Coturnix japonica: one gene and its partners. The protein of the gene in region 1 purifies or fractionates together with the protein of each later gene. This does not show direct contact. Links are inferred from orthologs where the notes say so. Each region holds a gene or a part of one and is shown in the gene's direction. Other genes may lie near its edges. The genes, in order: MYCBP, SPAG5 and ARFGEF1.

What was found.
Region 2: the proteins of MYCBP (region 1) and SPAG5 purify together in Homo sapiens (co-immunoprecipitation; 3 studies listed by BioGRID and IntAct, with this or other methods). This does not show direct contact. The link is inferred for Coturnix japonica from reciprocal best matches to the Homo sapiens genes MYCBP and SPAG5.
Region 3: the proteins of MYCBP (region 1) and ARFGEF1 purify together in Homo sapiens (co-immunoprecipitation; 4 studies listed by BioGRID and IntAct, with this or other methods). This does not show direct contact. The link is inferred for Coturnix japonica from reciprocal best matches to the Homo sapiens genes MYCBP and ARFGEF1.

Annotation. Positions count from the first base shown.
Region 1 is NC_029538.1:2,897,288-2,903,561, forward strand, and holds MYCBP (C-Myc-binding protein), read left to right. Parts: upstream 1-3,501; 5' UTR 3,502-3,595; coding exon 3,596-3,610; intron 3,611-3,743; coding exon 3,744-3,816; intron 3,817-5,021; coding exon 5,022-5,070; intron 5,071-5,155; coding exon 5,156-5,285; intron 5,286-5,808; coding exon 5,809-5,853; 3' UTR 5,854-5,911; downstream 5,912-6,274. Other genes in the region: GJA9 (gap junction alpha-9 protein), read left to right, coding at 1,006-2,541. UniProt on the Homo sapiens protein: May control the transcriptional activity of MYC. Stimulates the activation of E box-dependent transcription by MYC.
Region 2 is NC_029534.1:4,533,260-4,539,533, reverse strand, and holds the start of SPAG5 (sperm-associated antigen 5), read left to right. Parts: upstream 1-2,671; 5' UTR 2,672-3,132; coding exon 3,133-3,974; intron 3,975-4,055; coding exon 4,056-4,248; intron 4,249-4,364; coding exon 4,365-4,484; intron 4,485-4,556; coding exon 4,557-4,649; intron 4,650-4,724; coding exon 4,725-4,859; intron 4,860-4,947; coding exon 4,948-5,067; intron 5,068-5,169; coding exon 5,170-5,262; intron 5,263-5,350; coding exon 5,351-5,485; intron 5,486-5,608; coding exon 5,609-5,702; intron 5,703-5,789; coding exon 5,790-5,883; intron 5,884-5,990; coding exon 5,991-6,060; intron 6,061-6,274. Other genes in the region: RSKR (ribosomal protein S6 kinase-related protein), read left to right, coding at 1-10, 104-131, 257-346, 415-503, 589-999. UniProt on the Homo sapiens protein: Essential component of the mitotic spindle required for normal chromosome segregation and progression into anaphase. Required for chromosome alignment, normal timing of sister chromatid segregation, and maintenance of spindle pole architecture.
Region 3 is NC_029517.1:104,480,979-104,487,152, reverse strand, and holds the end of ARFGEF1 (brefeldin A-inhibited guanine nucleotide-exchange protein 1), read left to right. Parts: intron 1-66; coding exon 67-206; intron 207-572; coding exon 573-741; intron 742-1,321; coding exon 1,322-1,460; intron 1,461-1,981; coding exon 1,982-2,099; intron 2,100-3,119; coding exon 3,120-3,284; 3' UTR 3,285-4,555; downstream 4,556-6,174. Other genes in the region: CSPP1 (centrosome and spindle pole-associated protein 1), read right to left, coding at 5,560-5,786. UniProt on the Homo sapiens protein: Promotes guanine-nucleotide exchange on ARF1 and ARF3. Promotes the activation of ARF1/ARF3 through replacement of GDP with GTP. Involved in vesicular trafficking.

The DNA of each region.
Region 1 (6,274 bases):
CCGGTGGGGACATCAACAGTTCAACACACGGATGGAAGATGTCAGGGCTTGTCAGTGGACACCATAGAGCTTAATGTTACACATTTTCTGTAAAGAAAGGTATGTTTTGTTTCTAATGTGCTGTTTATCTTAGTTTGTTTCTCTTTTATGATGTCTGACACCTCTTTGTCTGCCAGTTTGAAAGTGTATTTTCGTGTTTAATTGTGGTCTTAATGTAACATTTCCTCTGTAGTCAGAGGCAGAGCAGCCACAAGAATTTAACATCCATTTACTTCCTTAACATTCTTGTTTTACAGCACGAAAACTAATCACATTTGAACTGAAAACTCTGTGTCAAATGACCTATATGCTAAAAAATCAGATTATGCTGCTTTTAATGTGATTGAAGTCCAAACAAAGTAACGTTATATCTACAGACAGAACCGTTTATGAAGCCAGCAGATAATTTTTTGCACAAGTCATTCATTTTCTCATAGGCTCGTGGGCAAAGGTAGCAGCACTTGGTGCTTGGATACTGTTCTGTACTTCAAACAGAGGTGTCATGAAGCAGAACTGGACTGGTGACGGGGGGTTGTTTATTTGCTTAGCACTAGGGGACAGGAAGTATTTTCTCTGTTTGCCTGCAGATACCTTCTCAGGTATCCTACAGATAAATATCCCACTGTCACAGTGGCATCTATTGGATGATGGGGAAGCAGATCCCTGCATGTCCAGTCCTGCTGTGAGGCAGGCACTGTATTTTCACTGACTCAGATGCATTGGGGGTGCTGCATACCTCATAGTTACATCCTTGCCTGAGTGTCTATTAGTGATAAATTAGACACAGGTGGACAACTTTGCCTCATAGCTGAGGAATAATAATGCCTACAGTGCCAACGAGTAGTGTCATGTTGCAATTGACACCGTGTGATGGTGTCATCCGTTTTATAATGAAGGGCTGCAGCTTTTACAGTTATCTGATGCTTGCTCTCTCATACGTTCCAGTGTTAAGATGGCACAATAACCATGGGAGACTGGAATTTCCTTGGAGGCATTCTGGAGGAGGTTCACATTCACTCCACTATTATTGGCAAGATTTGGCTAACCATCCTCTTCGTGTTCCGAATGCTTGTCCTTGGAGTGGCCACTGAGGACGTCTGGAATGATGAACAGTCAGAATTTATCTGCAACACAGAGCAACCTGGCTGCAGCAATATATGCTATGATGAGGCCTTCCCCATCTCTCTCATAAGATACTGGGTCTTGCAAGTTATCTTTGTGTCTTCTCCTTCTTTGGTGTATATGGGTCATGCCTTATACAGACTAAGAGCCTTAGAGAAAGAGAGACAGAAGAAGAAAGTTCAGGTGAGAGTGGAACTTGAAAGCACTGAATTAGAAATGACAGAATACAGGAGAAGGCTGGAGAGGGAACTCCGGCAGCTGGACCAAAGGAAGCTGAACAAAGCACCCCTACGAGGTTCATTGCTCTGCACTTACGTGATACATATTTTCACCAGGTCTGCAGTGGAAGTTGGTTTCATGATTGGGCAGTATCTGCTTTACGGGTTTCGCCTGGATCCCCTTTATAAATGTCACAGAGATCCATGTCCAAATGTAGTCGACTGCTTTGTATCACGACCAACTGAAAAGACAGTATTCATCCTATTCATGCAGTCAATAGCGACCGTATCATTGCTTTTAAATGTCTTGGAGATTATCCACCTTGGATTCCGTAAGATTAAAATAGGTCTGTGTGGGCAGGAGGAAAACAAGGATGATCGTGGGAATTTCTATACAAACAAATGCAAGAAATACTCAGTGATACCCCGCTCTTCTCTGGGAATATCTGCAACTCCTCCAAAAACTCTCCCTTCTGTACTTGGTGGTTATGCCTTTTTAATGGAGAAGCAAACAGACACTGCCATCTACCCAGCCTTAAACTCTGCTCCCATCTTCCAGCCCATTCAAAACAACCACGCAGAAAACAGAGGCAATTACACCCAGCACAACCAGGAAAACAAACTGCCCAAGAAAAGGCCAGCTACGAATGCTTTAGCTGGTCAGACTCCGAATGCCAGCACAGAGTGCAGGGAAGGTTTGCTGGGCAGACCTGCGACTGAAAGGAGGAACTCGCAGAAAGAAGCTGATCAGAAACACCTCCTTGCTGGTACTCAGAATGCAGATACAGCTTCGAGAAGCTTTGCTGAGATGCTGTCGCAGCCTCCCCTGCAGCCTTTTCCTGTTGCCAGCCTCAGAAGACAGCACGGAATCATCTCCTCCTGGAACTGCTGCACAGCAGCTGAGAGTGTTGGATCCTCCACAAACTCCCTTACAAAGAGCAGCAGCAGGAGACGGAGCAGCCTCAGTGCAAGCCAACTGCCCCCCAAAGCTGACACCCGGCACCCCAGCCGCCCCAACACCCCTGATTCAGCAGGGGAGGCCAGCACTGGCTCCAAGCAGAGCAGGGGCTGTGGCAGCCCCCAACCACTGCCCTTATCAGGGCGGCTGTCGCTGTCAAGCAGTGCAAGCAGCCGGAGAGCCCCCACCGACCTGCAGATATAGCATGGCTGCCCAAGCACTGTGCTTGGGTAACTGCTGGGCTTTGTGATAAGAGCAGCCCAGGAGCAGCTTCCTCATTCAGCTTTAACCAGTTCTTCCGCAGAGGTTAAGATAGAAGCTCAGCCCTTTGCTTTTAGCTCAGTAACTTCTTGCTTCGCTGGCGATGGAGGGATGGCTTCAACCTCTGTGCCAATCTTCTGCATTAACCTTCCAGCTAAGGAGAACATATACATCATATACACCATATACATAATATACACCATATACATAATATACACCATACACAACATATACATCATATACACCATATACATCATTTACATCATATATACATCATATACAACATATACATCATATACATCATTTACACCATATACATCATATACATCATATAAATCCACATACAAAGCCACACAGGAGGAGAAGCTGGGATTACAATAGCTGGTAATATGTAAGCAATAAACATAAAAGAACAAATTACAGTCTCAGAATCTATTGTATGGAGACCAGTAAATGAAATGAGGTGGAAGATCCATTCACTGCAGGTGTTTCTCCAGCAGCTGCTGTTTGTGTTCTCAGTGTGTGTGCGTTCAGCTCTGTGTAGATGTAGGGTTGGACATTTTGGATATATTTAGGTGCTATTATGCTCATTTAACCCCATGCTGTGTATGTGAATACCCCATTTGCATTTGACACCTCTATAGCAAAAAACGTGTTGACTTCACAGCTTAAAGAGCAAAGAGACAGCACTGAGGGGCTCGTATGTAGCAGCTCAAGAGTCTGGAAGGTTAGAAAGGAACCCAAAGGGCAGATATAGGGCTCTGAATGGGTTCTTATTGCCAGCCATATAGACCAACATATCTATATAGATACAGGTATAGATACAGGGCCAGGCCGAAGCCTGCAAGCACCGCGCATGCGCAAACCTCCCACAACCGGAAGGCCTAGTCGCAGAGATAGAGACCGGGACTTCCGGTTGGGTCGCCATGCCAACGGTAGGAAGCCGGGGCCGCCATATAAGAGGCGGGCGGTGGCGGTGCGGGCGTTGCGGGGTTAGATGGCGCACCACAAGGTAGGGGCTGCGGGCCCGAGAGGGTGGAGGGGCCTTCCTTATAACCCCCCAAACCCTTGGTGGTGGGGAGGGGTCGAGCTGTGTGTAGGTAGGGATGTGCCGGTGCTCTGACAGTGTGGGCGTCCTCCTTCAGGCCGCGGATTCGAAGAGGGAGCAGTTTCGGCGCTACCTGGAGAAGTCGGGGGTGTTGGATACGCTCACTAAGGGTAAGGAGGATTGAAGGCCTGTATGGGTTGGGTTGGGGCCGAGCAATGGGAATGTGCTGTGCCAGCCCCCTAATACTGGGGTTTAATGGAGGTGTCTGTGCTTATCTGGATAGGAAAGAAAAGCACGTTGAAAGCTCAACGTATTTATCTCTTTCTTATGGCTCACTGTGCTTTAAATGATTGCTAAGGGGTATGATTTAGTGTAGGGTTGTTTTAGGGTTCTGGTTAGGCTGTGGTTGGGCTTGATGATCTTTGAGGTCTTTTCCAATCTGCATAATTCTATGATCCCTTTGTGCTCTCAAGATCCTTTCAACATGGTGTTATATTCCTACTTAATAAAGCACGTTGCTTATGGGGTGTAGCAGCTGTGAGGGGTGTGCTCTGTGCTCAGCCCAGGTGTGTTGGAGCCCTTTGATTTCCTCTGGCTGTGGCTGTGCTGTTGCAATGTGGAAGCAAAACAAATCTTCCAAGCCCTGCAGCAAGCAAGTTTGGCTTCTAACTTTAAGTGTTTAGCTTAAAACTGTGCAGTTTGTGTGGCTGAAAATGGGAGGGAGGCGCTTAAGCTCCTTGAGAAGCATTTATCAAAGCAGAATGGTGGGGTGTGTGTGTGTTATGTCATTCATTTTGTGCTCCATAATCACAGAATGACCCGGGTTGGAAGGGACCTCAAGGATCATGTAGTTCCAACCCCCCTGCCTGGCAGGGCCACCAAACATACACCTTTACTAGATCAGGTTGCCCAGGAGACCCCATAGAGACCCCATAGATCAGGTTGCCCATGGCCCCGTCCAACCTGGCCTTGAACACCTCCAAGGACGGGGCATCCACAACCTCCCTGTGCAGCCTGTTCCAGGGCCTAACCACTCTCCTAGTGAAGAACTTCCCCCTAACATCCAACCTAAATCTTCCCTCTTTTAACTTAAAACCATTTCCCCGTGTCCTGATATTGTCAGCCCTATCGTCCCCTGTGGGTCAAAGAAATCCCTTCTGCCCACCCATTGAAGTATAGGATGCTCTGTTTCACCTTGTGCATGACTAAGATACTATGATGATGATCTCTGTCCTTAACATGAAGGATATAGGTGAGAATCTTGAACATGCTGTGAGCTTGGTGTGCAACTTGTATTTATTCTGTCTGCTGTATGTGTTTTGGAAACTAGAGTTGCATGGATGTCTTATAATGGTTGTTCGTCTTGTATTTGCAGTGTTAGTGGCCTTATATGAAGAGCCAGAGAAACCAAGCAGCGCACTGGAGTATCCTTTCTGTCCTCTATGGGTTGGTTCTTGCTGTTATAAGCAGCCTGTTGAGCTGAGGAAATACTTAACATCACAATATCAGCTTTTTGAAGCATCACCTGGGAGCTTCAGCTCCTGAGAGTCCAGAAATGGAGGCGCTTCGTATGGAACTGGTAGAGCTGAAGGAGAAATACGAAGCTGTGCTGGAAGAGAATGAGAAACTGAAATCCAAAGTAAAAGTCTATTTAGTGTTCAAGTCTTTTTAGTATTCCTAAGTACTTCTGTGTTTGATAAGGGTGCTTTGGCACTTATAATACAGCTAACTTTCACTGCCATAACTGATTATGATGTTATAGGGTTTGGCCTTGGGAATATTATCTCATTCCTTGCCTATATGTAGCTTCTGATGGAAGACTTGTATTCTGAAATGCAGTTTTTGCTAACAAAATAAGTAAATTAAGGGATAGTGGGAAACTCCATCTCATCATTCAGTCCCATTTGTTATCTGATAATGTGTATATGGTTCCATAAGAGCTTTGTAAAGCAGGGCTGGGGGGAAGCTAATGCTTTTCTATTCAGGCATTCCAAAGCAGGAGGGGAAATAGTGTTAGTTATTGAGGCCTGGCATGGGTCTGTGGCTGGGTTTTACCACAGGAGGTCACCCTTTACCCCTATGGAACATTAACATCCAACTCTGCTGCTCCTGTGTCTTTTAAGATGCCCCATCTAACTGATTGCCTCTCTTTAAATCCACAGCTGGCTCAATATGAACCACCTGAAGAAGAGAAGCGTGATGAATAACAGTAGTTTCTCCTTTCGTACCTTGGCTTTATTAATAAAGGGCTTATTGTGAACCGCACTCCTGCTTCTTCTATGTGAGTGCTGTGTGTCTCTGTGGGTATCTCAACTATAAGGACAAGCAGGGGGTGTGCAGCTCTATTTGTGGTCAGTCATTTTACTTCCGTGTGTGTAGGAAGGAGCTGAAAGAGGAAATAACACAGTGTAAGAGTTTCAAAGGCAAAACAACCCCCAACTCTATTGCAGGAGGTAAATTAGAGTGTATAGCATGTGTGTGCAGGCTGAGAAGGGGCTGATCTATGTATATATGGGGCTCCATATATCGGCTCGGCCCCATGTCCCCACCCTCGCCGTCATATGACCGGAGCGTCTCCCAGCACCTCCTCCATCGGCTGCGAGAAGCTTCGTTGTCAACCAATAGGGT
Region 2 (6,274 bases), on another chromosome or scaffold:
AGATGTGAAGGTGGGTGATAGTGGGGAGGGGGGACAAAAAGGCACCGAGGGTCTTTGTATCCCCTGGCATTGAGGGCCCACCCCAGAGCTTGTTTTATTGCAGATGGAGAACATCCTCCTGGATGAGAGAGGTGAGGGGCTGCTGGCATCGGTATGGGGACATCCTGTGCACGGGGACATCCCATCTATAGGGTCACCCTGTGCATGGGGTCACCCCCCCCACGGACCCCTCCTCTTGCACTGTCTTACCTCCCAGGGCATCTCAAACTTGCTGACTTTGGCCTCTCCCGACACCTGGGCTGCGGTGAGCGGGCACACACCATCTGTGGCACCCTGCAGTACATGGGTAAGGGCACAGCGTGGGGGGATAAAGGGGGATGGCTGGGGGCACCACTCACCTCCTCATCCCCGCAGCCCCAGAGGTGCTGAGCGGGGGTCCATACAGCCACGCAGCCGACTGGTGGTCCCTGGGTGTCCTGCTCTTTGCCCTGGCCAGTGGGGAGGTGAGCACTGTGAGCACTGTGGGGTGATGATGGGCTTAAGGACACCAAACGGAGACCCTAAACCTGCTCCTTGCCCCCCCCCCAGTTTCCAGTGCCACCAGCCAGGGACCACGTGGCCATGCTGGAGCGTGTCAAAGAGAGCAGCTTTGTGAGCCCCCCCGCGCTCAGCCCTGCTCTGAGCCGACTGCTGGCAGAGGTGACCCCAACCCTTGTGCTCAGTGTCCCCACTGCTGCCCCCCTCGTTGCTCACCATCCATCCTCCCTCCGTTACCAGCTGCTGTGCCACAACCCCCTTCGCCGCCTGCGCTACCTCCACCACTTCCAGGCTCACCCTTTTTTCCGTGGGGTGGCTTTTGACGCCGAGCTGCTGCAGAAGGACCCTGTGCCCGTGGCCGTGGCCCCGCACCCCAACGAGCAGCCCCTGCCCGACCCAGCCACCTTCGACGACTTCGACTGCGACTTCACTGCCCCATTGAACCGGCCTTGGCCCGGCTGAGCCTGGGCTGGAGGGAACCCCCCCACCACGGAGGGACCCCGCAGCACTCAGGGACACGCCCCCCCTCTGTACCTCGCCCCACGGGTGCAATAAACCCAGACCAGACGGGAACGCTGTGGGTGTCTCCTGTGGGGCCATGCACTGACGGCAGAGGATGCACGGAGCTGAGACCAACATAGAACCCCCCCACCCAACATAGAACCCACCAACCCAACATAGAACCCCCCCCCCAACATAGAACCCACCAACCCAATACAGAACCCCCCCCCCAACCAACATTAGAACCCCCCCACCGAATACAGAATCCCCCCACCCAACACTGAACCCCCCCCATAAGTGACATCCAGCCCCATAAGTGGGTCCCAAATCGCCCCATAAGTGGGTCAAAATCGCCCCATAAGTGAGTTTGGGGGGTCCCAAACCCCATAAGTGGGTCCCAAATTGCCCCATAAGTGAGTTTGGGGGTCCCAAATCGCCCCATAAGTGACTCCCCAGCCCCATAAGTGGGTCCCCAGCCCCATAAGTGGGTCATAAGCCCCATAAGTGAACAGTGAACAACACAGACCCCCCCCCCCTTAGGGTCTCACATCACGCCGTGATTTCCCGCCAAGTGGGCGTGGCCAACACTACAAACCACGCCCACTCCGCACGTAGCCCCGCCCACAACCGACGTAGCCCCGCCCCCATCTCTGGACCAATCAGAAGCGCGCTGTGTTTTCAAATGGGCGGCGGGCAGCGGCGCAGCGGGAGCGTGGCCATGTCGGGAGCGTGCGGCAATGGCGTGAGTGGGGGAACGGGGGGGGGTTGGTCCCGGTTCTGGTCCCGGTTCTGGTCCCGGTTCCGGTTCCGGTTCTGGTCCCGTAGCCGCTGTTTATCGGGCTGAGAGTCCGCTATGACGCTACGGATGGGTCCCGGTAGCGGTTCTAGGGGCGGTTGGATGCGGGGCCGTTCGCTCGGTACCGGTTGGGGTGGGGGTGGTTCCGGTTCTGACCCGGTTCTGACCCGCTCCCCAGGCACCACGGCGCCCCCTGCAGGAGCTGCGGCTGCAGCCGGGAGCGGAGCGGACCAACATCACCCCATTGATGCGCAGGATGAGGATCAAGGTCGGGGTGGGGGGGGATGGGATGGGAGGAGGGGCAGCTATAGGGGGTCTATGGGGGGCTATAGGGGGTCTATGGGGCAGGCGTAAGGGGGTCTGTGGGGCGGCTCTAAGGGGGTCTATGGGGCAGCTATGGGGCGCTATGGGGCAGCTATGGGGCAGCTATGGGGCAGCTATGGGGCAGCTATGGGGCAGCTATGGGGCAGCTATGGGGCAGCTATGGGGTCTCTATGGGGCAGCTCTAAGGGGGTCTATGGGGCAGCTCTATGGGGCAGCTCTATGGGGCGGCCCTATGGGGGGTTCTATGGGGCAGCTCTATGGGGTCTATGGGGCACTGAAGTAGGTGTGTGGGGGTTGTTGCCCTGATTCCTCTCCCCTTCATTCTCCAGGACCATGATGCCGTCACTCCTGTACCCTGCACTCGATGTCCCCCCGGCCGTATCGCCCCGTTTCTTCCCGTAGCCGCTGTCCCGTGCCCCCCCTGCAGCATCGATGTGAAGCCCCCCAGCTCCTTGAAGCCCCTCCCGGAGCCCTCAGGCAATGCCATCCCAGACCTCATCAGCATCTCAGAGACCTCTGGCCATGTTGCCCTTGTTACAGATGCCCCCGAGCCCCCAGGTGATACCATCTCAGGGCCTGACACCCTGCTACCCCCGGGTGATACTCCCCAAGAGGACACCCCCCCAGAGACCCCCAGCAGGGCCCCCCCACAGCCCCTTGGCAGAGCCCCGCTGCCCTTCTTCCCATTCTCCCCCAGCCTCCTCCCCCCACTGCCTCCCTCTCCAGACCCCCCCAGCATCCCCCCCTTGGAGCTGCATAGTCCTGACCCTGCTGGCAGCCCCTCTATAGGGCCCTGCACTCTGGACTCCCCCGGCAGCCCCTCTCCAGGCCCCCCCGGTACCTCCACCCCACAGCACACTCCGTTCCATCGGTGGCGAGCAGCCCCCCCTGATCTCTCTTGCAGCCCCGTTTCTTCCCAGCCCCTGTCTGAGGATGGGGCTGTGGGTTCTCCTCCACATCCCAGCACATTAGGGATGGCTGGAACCCCAAGCCCTGCCCCAGCAGAGCAGTGCTCCCCCCAGGCTGAGGTAGTGGGCTCAGAGCCTGTAGGGGCAGCAGCAGCAGCAGCCCCCACCCCAATGTCTTTGTCTGAGCCGTCCCTGGGGGCTGTGTCCTGGTTAGCCCCCCTCGTGTGGCTGGAGAGGACCCTCCCCTCCTCGTCTGTGCTGGAATCCATACGGCGCAGCCTGCCCTTGTCTGTGTCATGGCAGGATGCTGCCACCAGCATCACCCCAGTGCCCACTGTAGCTATGGGTACCGCTGTCACCCCAGTGCCCACTATATCTATGGGTACCACTGTCACCCCAGTGCCCACCGTATCTATGGGTACCACTGTAACCCCAGTGCCCACCGTACCTGTAGGAAGCAGTGTCACCCCAGTGCCAACCACGGCCACAGGCACCAATGTCACCCCAGTGCCCACCGGAACCATTGCCACCAATGTCAGCCCGGTGCCCTGTGGAACCACTGCCACTAATGTCACCCCAGTACCCACTGGATCCATTGGCACCAGTATCACCCCAGTGCCCACTATGTCTATGGGCACCAGTATCACCCCAGTGCCCACAATGTCTATGGGCACCAATATCACCCCAGTGCCCACTATGTCTCTGGGCACCAGTGTCACCCCAGTGCTCACTATGTCTATGGGCACCACTGTCACCCCAGTGCCCACTATGTCTATGGGGACCAGTATCACCCCAGTGCCCACCGTGTCTATGGGCACCACCATGACCCCAGAGGAGAGGAGCTCTGGCACATCCAAGCCTGCCGATGCCAAGGACAGCGCTGCTGAGACCGACTCTCTGCTGTGGCAGTACGTGTCCCTGCTGTTTATGGGGTTGGGTTCCCATGCCATGTTCCCATCCCCAACCTTTGGGGTTCCCTCTGTTCACAGCTGTTCCCGGGATCAGCTGCGTTTGCTGCCCCGATCGGAGCTGGAGGGAAGGCTGGAGAGCACCCTGATCATCATCGAGGCGCTGTCACTGCAGCTGCGGGACCTGCAGGGCTCCCAGTGCCCACTGCCCACTGTGGGACCAGCAGGACAGAGGGATGCACACACACAGACTGATGTCACCCGGCCCCGGGGGGTGAGTGTCCCATCCTACAACATGCAGGAGGGGCTGTGAATCAGACCCTGCTGTGGCATGGAGTGCTGGGTGTGTATGGGGTTGCTATTGGGGTGCACATCCTGCCTTGTCTTTAGGAGGAGGGGATCTACCACGGCCTCTACGTGGAGCTGCGGAACAAGATGCAGGCTGTGCAGCGGCAGCGTGGGGCAGAGCTGGAGCTGGCACAGCAGCTGGCACGAGCAGTGGAGGCCATGGTCTGTATGGGGTCTGTATGGGGTCTGTATGGGGTTTGGGTGGTGCCATCATTGTCCTCATTCCTCCCTCAGGACGCATGGGCCGAGCGGCGTCGTGTGCTGCAGGAGGTGGCAGATGCTGCCCTGCAGGATGTACGGGGTGACCACGCGGTGCTGGAGCAGCAGGTGGGTATGGGGGGATGCAGGGATGTGGCTGAGGGGGGTGGCAGCTGGATGAGGAGGGCTGCTGTCCCATTGCAGCGGCTGCAGGTTCATGCCATGGTGTCCCGGTGCAACGTGCTGCTCCGTGCTGTCCCTGCCAAGCTGCGGAGCTGCCTGCAGGAGCGGGATGCTGCACAGCACAGAGCAGACGAAGCCCTTCGTGCTAAGCAGGAGGTAACGTGTCCCACACTGGGACGCTGCTGTCCCCACCTACAGATGGGGGGGTGTGATGAGCCTTGAGCTGTGCCCCCCCTTTCTGCAGGGTGATGGATTCCTGGAGGCGTTTCGCTCCCACGCTGCTGCCCAGATCGGTGCCCGCACGCAGAGCCTGGAGCTGCTGCAGGAGCTGAGCACGCTGCTGGCAGCTGCCATCCAGCAGCAGGTATAGCATGACCCCAAACCCTGCATGGTATGAGAGTCCTGACTCAGGGCTGTGCTCCCTATGGGATCCCTCCTTGCTTTCACTCCTTGCTTTCCTCTCTAGGTGTCCCTGGCTGCAGAGGCTCAGCCCTTCCGGCAATTCATAGACGTGACCTTTGCCAACCTGCAGGAGGAGCGTGGAGCTCTGGATGGGGAGGTGAGGGCTGTCCCAATGTCCCAACACTGGGTGTCACCCATGTCACCACTGCTCAGCCTAAGGCTGCCCCTGTCCCTGTCCCTTACAGCGGGAGCAGGTCCGTGCCCTGGTGTCTCGCTGCACGGCTGCGCTGCGGGATGTCTCCACTAAGCTGCACAGCTGTATGCAGGAGCGGGATGCTGCAATGCAACGGGTGGAGGAAGCTCTCCAAGCCAAGGAGGAGGTAATGGGGCCACCCAGTGCACCTCAGGGATCAATAAGGAAAGGGATTTGTGGGGGCTGACCTATGGAGGATATGGGGAATGGAGGGTGTGGGATGCTCTGTGTTAACCCCACATCTCTGCAGGTGTCCCAACAGCTGGAGAAGACCCTGGAGGCTCTGCAGGATGCGATGACGCAGGGGGAGCAGCTGGCAGTCACCAACTCACGGCTCAGCACAGGTGGTGATGGGGGAGGAGGGCAGAGTTATAAGGGGGTGGCAGCGGGGTGTGGGGTGTTCCTGTGCTCACAGCTCTTCCCCCCTCCAGATCTGAGCATGGTGATGAAGCAGCTGGCCAGCCTGCAGCAGGAGCAGGACACGCTGCTGCAGGACTACGAGGAACAGAAGGAGCAGATGAGCAGGTCTGTGTGCATGTCCCCTCTCAGCACCCCCATCTATCCCTTGGGGTGTCCCCCCGCCCTGTGGCTTATCTCCACGCCTTGGAGCTTATCTCCTCCCTTGGTGTCAGGCTGAGCAAGGAGCGCGATGCTTTGCAGCGGGAGCGCAGGGAGCTGCAGGAAGCAGTGGAGTGCAGGGAGGTGAGAGCCAGGGCACGTGGTGCAGCATCACATGTCCCTAATGGCAGGTGGCAGCCATCCAGCAGCAGCTCGCGGTGCTGCCAGGCTGCACGTAGGGCTGTACGCACAGTGATGCTCAGGGTGATTCCCCCAGCTGTGTGTGTCATGTGCTGCCCCGTGGTTGAATGGGACCACGCAGGGGGTGCTCATGGCTGTGTGTGTTTTAACCCCGTCT
Region 3 (6,174 bases), on another chromosome or scaffold:
TCAGCTTTTAAGAATTAAGATAATACCGTAGTGTTGTAAGCTAAGCACCAATTTCTTTTCTGAAAGAATTTCCAGAACAGAAGTTATTTGCTGCCCTTCTGATCAAGTGCGTTGTACAACTGGAACTCATTCAGACTATCGACAACATTGTGTTCTTCCCTGCAACCAGCAAAAAAGAGGATGCAGAGAATCTAGCGGCAGCACAAGTAAGTGAAATGTACAGGTGTGTTCTCTCTTTAGCAGCTTCTTCTCAAGTGCATAAAGTTTCATGAACTCCTGGAACTCGGAATTTACAGCTTTTAGAAGTTCTAGAGAACGTGCAGCAGACTGTTGAGATCTTTTACAGCTTGTGTACAATTGGGTTTGCTGTGCTTCTGTGGTACACTGTGGAGATGGGGATGTTTATTGTTCAGTGATCTCTCCAACCTGGGATACTGGTGCGATTTTTCATACAGTTTTAAGTTTAAGTACAGACACAGATAAGAACAGGGTAGGGTTGTGATGTCACAGGAGCTTAATGAAGGCAGTTGTCAGTTCTGACCTGAAATCTTCCTCTCCTTTTCCCCAAAAAGAGAGATGCAGTAGATTTTGATGTCCACGTGGATACACAAGATCAAGGGATGTATCGTTTTCTGACATCACAGCAGCTTTTCAAACTCCTCGATTGCCTGCTGGAATCTCACAGGTTTGCTAAGGCCTTCAATTCCAACAATGAACAAAGAACCGCTCTCTGGAAAGCGGGTGAGTCAGTCAGTCTCTGTGGAGAGAGGTTCTTCAAGAACGTGCTGCTGGGCTTTGAATTGATGAGGAAAAAAAGGTCTAAAAATACAGCGGTGCTGTAATTTTATAACCTTAGACACCCCGAAGTGGAGGAGGCCCCAGTTATACGGGTGCAAATGCCTTTTGAATTTCCAAAGATGTAATGGGCTGCATTTGGGTGTACACAGCTGCCACGTTAAATGCTGGCTGTAGGTGCAAAACTGCAGGTACAAAACAGCATTAGGAGGGTTGTGGGGCTAACAGGTCTCTTCTTGAAATACGTGGTGTTTTCCAGAACGGGTTGAAAATAGAATCTCTGTACCGAAGCAGTTCAGTCTATTCCTTGCACTGAAATTAGCATTATTAATCTATAAATACATAATATACGTTACAAAATAAGCACTTAGAAATATATATTTATATAAACATGTATTATTGCTGTCTGTATGTATTGTATGTTATATGTTAACGAATGTTAACTCTCTGTTATGCAGGGCACGCTCAGGAGAGGTATGAAAATGAAACACACAAAACCCTAAATGAATTCTTTGAATTTCTTTAGGTTTTAAAGGCAAATCCAAGCCCAATCTTCTGAAACAGGAGACGAGCAGCCTTGCCTGTGGGTTACGCATTCTGTTCCGCATGTACATGGATGAGAGCCGAACCAGTGCATGGGAAGAAGTCCAGCAAAGGCTGCTAAAGTAAGGGCCATGTAGCAGAACCTGTTGCTGTTATGTCTGTTAAAGAGTGTGCTGGTTTGGGTTTGCTTGTTTATTTGCACGTTGTTTTTTCATTGTTGAATATTTATTATAATCCACTCAGATTCACCTGAATGTTCTTAGTTTACAAAGTCCTTCAAGCCAGAGTTAGAACAACAGAGGGCTTCAGACTGTGCTGGAGAAAGAATGGAGGTATTTTAAGGTTTGATAGACCAAGGAGCAAAGATGAAAAACTCTGTTCTTGCATCAGCATGAGATTGTCTCCATTGTGTCATTCAGTCTTGCATTCCAACACCCCTCAGAGAGCACTTGGTACCATTTACGTAGGATGTGCAAACACTGCTATCACAGTTCATAATCCTGTTCAATACTGAGGTTTCTCAGAGCGATGTGGTGCTTTGCTGGGTCTCTGTGCTGTTGTAGCTGATTACAAAGCCAAAGCTCGCCCTGCAGAGGAGCTCAAAATACAATGTGAGTTACTGGTTTCTGTCTTCTCTCTCCAGTGTCTGCAGCGAGGCTCTGAGTTACTTTCTTACTCTCACATCCGAAAGCCATCGGGAGGCCTGGACTAATCTGCTGCTCTTATTTTTGACTAAGGTTCTGAAGATAAGTGATGAAAGGGTAGGTAATGGGAACATCTTGAAATCACAGAATCACAGAATTGTAGGGGTTGGAAGGGACCTCTAGAGATCATCGAGTCCAACCCCCCTGCCAAAGCAGGCTCCCTACACCACGTCACACAGGTAGGCATCCAGGTGGGTCTTGAATATCTCTAGAGAAGGAGACTCCACCACCTCCCTGGGCAGCCTGTTCCAGTGCTCCGTCACCCTCACTGTAAAGTTCTTCCGCACATTCGTGCAGAACTTCCTATGCTGTAGTTTCATCCCATTACCCCTAGTCCTGTCCCCACGCACTACTGAAAAGAGTCCAGCCTTGCCACTATGGCTCCCACACCTCAGGTATTTATAAATGCTGCATTAAATATTATTTCAGACCAGCAGCTCTTGGCACGCAGCCATGCACTTCGCTTCAGAGGTTCCTGCTGCTCTGTAGGGTTGTGTGTTGTGGAAATCTGTGTAACTGAGTAGTGGTTACCAATGACTGCAGTGCCGAATGGGGGTACAGTGACTGCTGACTGTCTGAGGATCTTTTAAAGATGCTAAAATCGTTTAGAAATGTGTTTTAGGTTGTTTTTATGCCTCTCTTGCTGAGGAGAAGGGTTAGTGGCTGGTACTGCTTGGAAATAACTCCTGGTTTTGGTTCCCATGTTGCCTTGACCTTTCCCAAAGCAGTTCCAGATTAAATAGATCTGAATTTAGATCTCCCTCCATTTCTAGCAGAACTTGGCTGAAGTGTTAAGTGAGGGAGGCCAGCCCCTACCTCAGATGTAATGGATAAGGGCAAAATTCCTCCTGTTGATGTGTAAGAGTTAGAGATATGCACGCAGCCAGTGAGCATCTGACAGCTGCCTTAGCCTTATCCCAGCACTGCCAGCTTCTGTTACAGTGATGCTTCAGCTTGTCACTGTGTGGATTTCTCACCTTGCCTTAGGAGAGCACTTGAAATCCTTCACTCGCAGCTCTCTGAGTTGTGCTGCTGCCTTATGGAATAACCTGCTCTGTTTGTTTGTTTTCTCCTCAGTTCAAGGCTCACGCCTCCTTCTACTACCCTCTCTTGTGTGAAATCATGCAGTTTGACCTTATCCCTGAACTCCGAGCTGTTCTGCGAAGGTTCTTCCTGCGGATTGGCGTGGTTTTTCAGATATCCCAACCAGCAGAGCACGAGGCTGCACTAGGCAAGCAGTAGCACGTAGTGACTGGGGATTGCTCCCTTACAAGTGTAACTTCCTCAGCTAAATAAAAGGACCAGGGAGCGGAGCCGTTCTGTCTGGGCATCCATAGAAATGGTTTCTTTGTACGGCAGCGTTGTATCTAAGGATGAATGGTACAGATGCTTACACCTGTAATTAAGGCTTGCAACACTCCAGTCTCTTTATTTCCTGATGGGTTGTCTGTGGGTTTCTCTGCCCTGGCTGGTGCTGAGCACAGAGCCAGTTTTTAGCACAGTCCTCTCGTCAGCGTGGGCTGCGCCATCCTTTCCCATCCCAGGCAGCAGTAGAGCAACAGATGTTGGTGGCGGGTGTGGAAGGAGAACGTAGCCAAAGAACTCGGTATGTAAAGGTTTGAGCTTCTGCGAGTACAACTCAGGAGAGCTGTATTTGAAGGATCAGATGTTTATAGTGAAAAGAAAAAGGAGATTATCGCTCATGGGAAAGGTTCATTAGCACCCGTGGCTGATATTCTAAGATTTTTTTGCACACTCAGGCTGACTGAGACATTGGTAAATCATCCTCCTGTGAAAATGTACAGAGATGCAGGTCTGTAATATAAACTCTTTAACACTATACAGTTCTTCCTGAATTGTTTTCTTTCTGTGGTTTTGAGTTGTTGGAAACCCAGCGCACTCGGTTGTTCACCAGATGCACTACAGGTTTGGGGCTGTTGCGGGGGGGGCTGTGGTTTCTTTCTCCGGTTTCGTTGTAGCCCAGCAGTTGGTGTTGCTGACTTTGGTGGAGAGCAGAGGTTAGAGGTACCACGACTGACATAACTACCTGTAATATACTTGTCTTAGGGCTTCTCAGTATAACGAGCCATCAAAACGACGATCCTTCAAGGACTGGAACGCGAATCACCGCAAACAAGTCTAGGTTGTGTCTGCTGTCACCTGTTTTTTCGTTTGATGTAGATTTCACTCTGATGTACAGAATTTAACGTGGAATATATTCGAGTAACAAATCGGGCATGGCTTGGGGATGGTTCAATTTATTGGAGATGTATTCATACTGTGAATTGTGCTCTGATGGTTAACAGACGAGATTGTCAAAGCATTCTGTATTACAATGGATGTAGAAATTTTTTTCAGATGGACAAAATGTATATGGTACAGATATGTAAAGTTTTCTATGTAAAAAAAAATTCTGTACAACTTTCTGTACAATATTTGGTTCTCATCTGGCATAATCTAATCGGGTTATAGGTCAATAAAGTTTTTGAACTCTTTCATCAGTGCAATCAAAACCAGCCTAAGCCACAGCACTTGTTTTATACCTTCCTTTGCCAAAGCTCCACTGCTTGTAAGCAAGAGAGGATGGGGTTGTGCTGGAAGCTGTGGATGCTGCAGGAGAGTGGAGCTGCTCAGGGTTTCTCCTGCTTTGAAGAGGGACTGGGCAGCCCCTGCTTCACAGTATCACAGTCTCGTGCGGGTTGGAAGGGACCTTAGAGATCATCGAGTCCAACCCCCGGGATTCGAGCCCCTGTGTAGCAGAGCGGCACTTCTACCACTTGCGCCACAGGGGGATTCGAACCCGGGCCTCTGGTGTTGCAACGTGGCATTCCTACCACTGCACCACCGTCATTGGCCTTCCTTCATGAGATGGGAAGTGACAGCACCTCACCACTACTGCTGATTTTAGTACCAAAATAATTTATTGTGACCTCTTAAATCAGAAACATAAATATATATATATCGCACTATCTGCATCTCCAACACAAACCAGGTTAGGAAGGTAAGATAGATATAATGCTAACAGTTCTTCCATCTAACAGCTCACCACAACAGCACACGTTCAGCACTGAGAAGGGGAAGTGCCCCCTCGAGGCTGTTCACTCTTAAAGCTCAAACAGCACCTCCCTGCTGTGTCACTGTTTGCAAACAAACACTCTTAAGAGTTTTGCTACGAACAAAGGTAAAACATAACTCTGATTGAATATCAAATTCACACACACACCCCGTTCCCAGCAGATCCCCCTCTGAGGCCGAAACCAACTTGTATAAAAAGTGCAAGAAATGCCAAAGTACTTCAATGCGCCACTGCCACACGGTGCAGAACCCTGCGCTGAGGGTCCCCACCACACTGCAGCTTCTGTTTCTTCATTATTGCTACTTGAAATTAGACATAGAGCTCCACACTATTCACACTGAGTACAGCTGTCCCTAGGAGTGACCCAAAAAGTGCAGTAGTGCTGAACAGGACGTTCCTTCCCTTGCTGCAAGGCACACGTGGGTTCCACACAGGCCGCGCTCAGCCGTGTGCGGTGGAGAGGCCCTGCCAGCCCAGCGGCAGAGCACCATCGGGAGGCAGCTTTGCCGGGCTCTGCTGCTCAGTCAGGAACCTGTGGAGCGTTGCAGCCGTTCCCGGTCGCAGCCAGGGCTCAGTGGCGATGGAGTCAGCAGAACTGGGCGGGCGGCTGTCTTTGGAGGGGGGGGGCTTCATCAGGTCATCTGCTTCTCCTGGGGCTACATCCGCACCTGGGGAGAAGAGCAACACGGGTGAGAATCAGAGTCATAGAATGGCCTGGGTTGAAAAGGACCACAATGATCATCCAGTTTCAACCCCCCTGCTATATGCAGGGTCACCAACCATCAGACCAGGCTGCCCAGAGCCACGTCCAGCCTGGCCTTGAATGCCTCCAGGGATGGGGCATCCACAGCCTCCTTGGGCAACTTGTTCCAGTGCGTCACCACCCTCTGAGTGAAAAACTTCCTCCTGAAGAGACCACATCATCATCCCTACGCTAAACATGCTGATTTGTCTGGAGTAAGCAAAAGCAAAAGTAACAAAGAAGCATTTTTGAGACCTATTTCAGATGTTAGGCCAGTCCATACTCACTGCAGGTAGATCCCCATAGGCCGTTCC